2 linked regions of the Oryza sativa Japonica Group genome follow. Each later gene encodes a partner of the first gene's protein in a complex. Links are inferred from orthologs where the notes say so. Each region holds a gene or a part of one and is shown on either strand. Other genes may lie near its edges.

The links.
Region 2: mediator of RNA polymerase II transcription subunit 17 (region 1) and mediator of RNA polymerase II transcription subunit 32 share a complex: the UniProt entries of both Arabidopsis thaliana proteins name them as parts of the mediator complex. The link is inferred for Oryza sativa Japonica Group from reciprocal best matches to the Arabidopsis thaliana genes AT5G20170 and MED32.

What each region holds. Positions count from the first base shown.
Region 1 is NC_089046.1:28,096,009-28,100,154, reverse strand, and holds the start of mediator of RNA polymerase II transcription subunit 17, read right to left. Parts: upstream 2,930-4,146; 5' UTR 2,724-2,929; coding exon 2,635-2,723; intron 2,548-2,634; coding exon 2,349-2,547; intron 2,253-2,348; coding exon 2,139-2,252; intron 1,976-2,138; coding exon 1,890-1,975; intron 1,804-1,889; coding exon 1,425-1,803; intron 1,227-1,424; coding exon 765-1,226; intron 689-764; coding exon 368-688; intron 1-367. UniProt on the Arabidopsis thaliana protein: Component of the Mediator complex, a coactivator involved in the regulated transcription of nearly all RNA polymerase II-dependent genes.
Region 2 is NC_089044.1:22,150,976-22,153,578, reverse strand, and holds mediator of RNA polymerase II transcription subunit 32, read right to left. Parts: upstream 1,316-2,603; 5' UTR 1,226-1,315; coding exon 743-1,225; 3' UTR 590-742; downstream 1-589. Other genes in the region: U-box domain-containing protein 70-like, read left to right, coding at 2,305-2,467. UniProt on the Arabidopsis thaliana protein: Component of the Mediator complex, a coactivator involved in the regulated transcription of nearly all RNA polymerase II-dependent genes.

The DNA.
Region 1 (4,146 bases):
CTTATGTGGGACAATATTAACCTAAAAAAATGTGGAAGCATGGCAAGGCACTAGAATGTTTGTACTGGTGTCCTGTTCAACTCAACATGCATGCCACATTCATTTTGAACTGTTAAGCAAACTAATCCTGTAGGTCAATAGGCACAAATGAAGATTTCCTCAGGGAAAAAAACTAAGAAAAATGCATTACCATTGTGCATTTCACATTCAAATGCAAGGAGTTTATGTTACACATTTGCAATGCAAGAAATAGTCTGGCTCATTGCATTATCAATGGACCATAATGAATTCCAATGGTAATAACTTTAATAATTTCATAAACATGATCTACCAAGAAATAATTTAAATAGTATCATCAGAAGTTTACCTGCTGCAGAAGCATTGTTGGGAGGTCCTCCAAGTCACAATTGTAGCTATTTACCAAATATCCATCGGAGGGCTTCCCAGTCAATGATCCAGCAATGCTTGGGGAGCCTTCACCCATTAGACTAATTTGGCTATCTTTCACGATCACCTTAGTATTGAACTGTGACCTGGATTTGTACTTAAGTTCATGGTTATCAGAAGGCTTTGCAATCCGATCTGCAGCAAGGATAGGCTGAGGAACTTTCAAGCATAGAGACCAGGAGGAAGTTCGAGAATGCCAAGTAGGAAGAGAACGCAAATGGAGATATGGAACCCTGCTGACCTGCAATACAGAAAGGAAATTTAAATAATGATCTACATGCAAATATGTAGCATCAACAAGCTTATAGGAGCTATACCACACTCTCAAGCTCCACGAGTACTTTGTTAGAAAATATCCTGTGAGCCACTGTCAAGCAGAAATGACCTAGCAGGCCATAATCATCACCTGCAACCTGAGCAGGACTTTGGTAGCGACCAATGTTAAGGGATTTCTCCCTGACCTTCCTAAGAATGTTCTCATGAAACAATTGTAGCAAGTAAATTTCCAGACTTCTGGGATTAGGAAACCCTGTCACGTCTTTTCTTAAAGGGTCCAGCTTCCCATTCATAGTGACCAACACAAGATTTGAGGCATCCTCTGAATTGGCATGGTCTTCATGGTCTACCATTTCTGAGTCACTACCATCTCCAGAATGAGCAAGCGAGAGGCACAATGAACATTCCTGACCAATAGCTAATTGGAGAAAATCTTCACGCATTCCAGTCACATTGATGCCTTGAGATTGGACAAATGTCTCACGGATCACCATATCAAATACCTACAAAGGCATACACTAAGCTAAGCCACAGAACGATATACATAAATAAATAATGATAAACCCGGGGAGGGAGGGGTGGTGGTGGTGCAAGATGTCATCACATGATATACAATAATTTTCCATGATGCTATAGTTAAAACTTAATTAAGAGCATTCTATACAGGAATTCTTAGCATGCCAAGCAAACACTTAGCTGACCTGCTCCTCAAATATTGACTTGTGGATGTTGCGAAGAATAGAATGTGCATGTTTGATGGATTTATTGACATCATCATTGTCTGTTTCAGAGGAAGTGATGCTTGAGATGCCATCTTTCAGTTTATGACCGTAGTTTTCCACACCATTGGCACTGTCCCCTCGAAAATTAAGACTCAAGAAACGGCAAGATTTTTGAGGGACTTGTACGGACAAAGTGCCTGATGAGTCTTGGTCAATTGGAATCAATGGTAATGATGACAGTCGAGGCATTGCTGCTGTGTCCAATTGAGAAGTGTCGATCAGATCAAACATGAAGCCCTCACTTCCTGGACCACTTCCACCAAACCGTTGCCGCTTCACTTTCCAGTTCTGCTGCAATCTGCCACCAATCCGCGAGTAATTCATGGTGCAAACTTGGGTGAAGTGGTATTGAAATAACAACTCAAGTTAAGCAACAAGACATGCCTGATTAATGAGCCATAGAACCTAGACTCTTTTTGGAACTGCTGCTCCATTGTTTTGGCAGATTGTTTGAAGTAGCGTGACAAATGCTGCGAGGACACAAATGAAGATCACAACAGGAAGCATGATAGATGCAAGACGGAAGAGGAAAGTGGCAAGCGATTACAGAAACAAATTGAGTTTGTTTTAGGTTCCATTTTGTTCCTTAGCCGTGAATTGAAGTAATCAAACATAGGCAGTAGGGTGACATACCCGAACGCGCTGAAGCTTGGTGGCTGCAGAGACTGCGGTGTCAACTAAGGTTTCGGTTGGCAGCGATTTGGGCTTGAGCATCCCAGCGACTGCCACTGCATCATTGGCTTCGACCTGCATTATCAAGTAGGATTGTCTCCTCTGTCAGGAATACAAACAATCGCATGCAAATAGAATGGGGTTTGCAGTATTGTGTGTGGGAAAACTGACAGTGGAGATGAGGTCAATGACGACGGAGAGCTCCTGCTGCGCCTGCTGCAGGCTCTCCATCATGCCCTGCCACGGCCATGCCTGCTGCTGCTGCTGCTGGGCGGTGTCCTTCTTGGGCTTCTTGGCGTCCTTGTCGATGACCCAGGAGAAGTCGATGCGGCGGATGGCGGAGAGGCGCTGCTCCTCGCTGCTGGTGTCGCTGCGGAATCCGAATCTCAGTGAACGGAGAGAGGTGGGGGTTAGGGTTTCAGGGGAAGGGAAGAGGTTGGTTTGGTTTGGTGCTTACGGCGGGTAGTGCTCGTTGCCGGCCTCGTCGATGGCGTGGAGGCGCTTGATGGGGAGCTTGTCGAGGTCCACCCGCACGGCTTCCTCCATGGCGAAGGCGAGGCAGCGGCGGCGGAGGGCTTAATTAGATCGGAGACAATTTTTTGAGTGAAGGAGGCACTGCCTTGGGGCTCACGAGTCCCGCTCAAGAGCGGAAGGGATCCCCCCGCGGGAAGCAGAAGCGGCGGCCGGCGGGGTGGGGGCGGCCGCCGGCGAGGTCGTCGGGCGGCGGAGTGAGGAGGAGCGAATTCTCGATCGAGTTTGGGTGCTGGACTTTGGAGTTTCTTCTCTGGAAGAGAGTATGATGGGCCTTTTTTGACTTTGGGCCGGCCTAACAAGTAAATGTTGCTGGGCTGGCCTGGACCAGTTCCAGACTTCCACTACTCCGAATGGGCCGGAGTTTCTTTTTTTATTTTCCATTTCTCAAGGCCCCTCGGGAGCAGGAATTATCTCCTAGCAATGGTAAAACGAAGGCTTATATCAGAGAGCTTTTTCTTATCAATGCCTACAAGACAACAAGGCCTGTTCTTCTGTTGTTCGTCCATGGATCACAAGTTTCAGGGAACAAAACTCTCTTTGGTGCCGGTGGCAATGATATTCCAAACTCAACCGCAAGTTGTGATCAATCTGCAACGTATCAGGGACGACGGATATTTCACAAAATAAGTAGTAGTATGTCGATTCTTCAGTCCAGCTTCTGAATTCCAGGCCTTTTGAAGTTGAGCAAGCAAGTAAATTCAGATAATCTCTCTGCAAACCAACTATACAGTGAGTGACTGAATTTCTACTTGCGCGGATCGATGTGCCAGAGCATTGCCAATCACAGAAACAAGTTGCAGATGAGATTGTCATACTAGCTTACAATCAATGCCACCATCCGCTCAAAACTCACAGCAATCAATCACAACCTGAAGAAACAATGAGGACAAACCACTGTCCACCGGATCGAGTTGGCAAAACCTGGACGACCAAGGGGGTTCGGAGAATAAAACTCCGACCCCTATTCATGAAAAAGAAAAGCACCGCAAACAATTCGTATCATAATTCTTGCAGGTAACACCGTAACACCATAAGTTTGAGAGAAATGCGCCAAATACAACAAATTTGGCGATTTGTTTGTTTTCTCTTTTTCAAAGGTAGCATATAGATTTGCCTTGATAATAGTATCAACAGATGCAGCGCTATAACCATATATACTCCATTTCTTCTCCATTCCCTTGCTTCATTGATTTATGACATACTCAGAAAGACTAAAATAAGCATCAATTTCACACTTCACAGGCCTGTTGTTCACAACTACTGAGCTGCTGTGTTATTGTATTGCTACTAATCAATACCAGCATCTCTTTAGAAAAATCATTAGCGATACACAGCTTACATTTTATTGGATATCACTGTCATTGTATCACATCCACTCCTCCCAGATCAACATATGCAATCATCATGCCTATGCCAGTTTTTTGCATGGTAAATT
Region 2 (2,603 bases), on another chromosome or scaffold:
GCATATGCTACAAACATTGAATTGTTTGGCCAAAATTGGCAGCTAATTCTAAAGGCGCAAAAATGTACGATAGAGAATTATATGAGGAAACTAGTAGCTAATAACCAATATCACTTTCCAGTATAACTGGGTTTCACAAACCATGAGCAATCTCCCAGAGTTTATTATCACAAATTGTGCCTTTTGTGGCTGCTTAGTTATTCTTCAATAAAATGTTGTTCATTAAAAAATCAGAAGGAAAAGCATTCACATTGTGGCGGACGCAAGATTAGCAAAACATCCAGAGTAGGTACTTGAAAGTTGAAGGAACTTATACAGTTATATGCTAGTTGAGTAGTATATATGAAATTGTTCATTTTTTCCTGGGACCTCAGGTTTACTACCTTACCTTAGTACGATGCACGAACATTATGTGAGCGAGCTACAAATCAGAACTAAAACCTACTGGAAGGAAGTCCGTTACACAATTAGTCACTTAACAAAAGCAATAGGACAAAATTAAATCAGTTACTAAGCGTGATCTGGCCACGACACTAAGAAAACGGTTAATTTCTCCCAAATTTTAACATCAGTAGGCATAAAGTAACAATGCTGAGAAAATCACAAGCTCAATTTTTTTTAGAATATCGATCACAAGCTCTAATGCTTCAATTCTTAGACGATTACACAGAGATACCACCAGTAATTTGTTTTCTTTGGAAGAAAATACTACTAGTACAAGATAATTGAGCAAAATAAATACCTACTGGGCGCCGTCCTCGGGGAAGCGCGTGTCGACCCCGCCGTGGCCGTGCTGCCCCGCAACGCCGGAAGCCGCAGCCGCGGCGCCGCCCCCGCCGCCGGGACCCGCGGCGGAGGCACCTCCGGCGCCGTGCTGGAGCTCGATGACGAGCCAGCGGACGGCCTTGCTCATCTGCTCGAGGCGGACGGCGCTGATGGGCTTGATGCCGGGGGCGGCCAGCGCCGCGGAGGAGGAGGAGGAGGCGCCGGTGGCCTCGTCGACGAGGCACTCGGAACCGATTCGCTGGCGGATCGACTCGACGAGCTCCTCCGCGTGGTCGCAGGCGACGCGGAAGAGCTCCCACCGCTGCTTGAACGCCTCGAGCGCCGCGTCCGTGGCCGCGTTCTTCTCTCCCCCCGACTGCCCCCGCGCCTCCACCACCGCCGCCGCCGCCGCCACGAACTCCTGGTACGCCTCGCTCAGCTCGTCCACCGTCGCCTCCATCTCCCCTCGCCGCCGGCGGCTTCTCCCCGACACGCTCCACCGCCTCCGCCGCCTAGATTCCCCACCAACTTGACCTCTACTCGTCACAGTGTCAAACTCCCAAACCAGTAGCGTCAAAAAAAAAAAAATTCCTCGTGGGCCGCAGATTCGCGGCCCACTTTAAAATGGGCCGTCTCGTGCTGTATCTTCTTACTGGGCCGCACGTTAAAACTTGGGCTGGGACGCGAGGCGAGGGTTTTTCTCGAGGGATAAATATGGGCCTCGCCGCTCGCCGGAGCGGCGGTGGCTTCCCCCTCGCCGACGGCGAGGCGGGCGACCCCGGTGGGATCCTGTGAGCCGGCGACGGCTTCCCCCAACTCCCGCCTCGCCGCGCGCCGATGTTGCCGTCTCCCTGCGCGATTCCGCCGCCGCCGCGATGTATTTATTCGGTGTTCGCCATTTCTAGTCAATCGTCAAAGGTGATTTGACTGTACCACGATGATTTAATTTCATATGCAGTACTGGTGATGATGAGATGTTTGCTTGTTGTCAATTTTGTTCGCCTCAAATTTCATATGCTATTATTGCTGAATCGTCACTACCCGTAGGTTGTTTCTCCCGTTCATATGGAGTAACTGAAATATGAGGCCGAGATCTTTAGATTAGATCACCAGATAGACTGATGGCTCTATCACTGGCACACAATCGATGCACTACATCTTTTTTTTATTAGAAATGAAAGGCAGGGAATTTGTGGTGAGCAATGGGGGTGAAGGATGTGAGAAAGGTAGAGTCTTACATTAATTCATAACATGTCCCTGTTCCCAGCAAATTTTGCCGTGTTGTACTGGCATGGCATGACAGCGTACCAAATGACTTTCCTCAGATAATCCATTCACTGCGACTTGGTAGTTGAGTGTTGCGTTGTCTTCCGATAGTCTCAGTCAAGAGTCAACCTTTTTACCTGGTTAAACTGGAATCTTATTCTTTAATGCTAATACGCAGTGTGTTCCCTCTTTTAGTTGTCCAAAGTGGGAAACGCAAACTGGTAGATAGAAGTATCTCTTAGTTCCATCTTCAAGGCCTTACCAGTTGCATGCATGAGTATGATGCTCAGGCAGAAAACTCTGTTTAGAGACAAGGTTTATGTTGCTCTCCCTGAGCAACCCACCGATGGCAAGTCCATACTGTCTTGGGTTATCGATCATGCATCCAGTAGCACGGAGATCATCATCATCCACATAATTACTACATCGAACTTTGGTTAGTTATGTGCAGTGGCTTTATCTAAAGTTATTTTTCTCGATGTCAATAAAGGAGGTGATATAGTCATATAGCTATCTTATGATGTTTGTACCATAATCTTTAGCTTCTGGCTTTCTGCCATATTCTGGTTTAT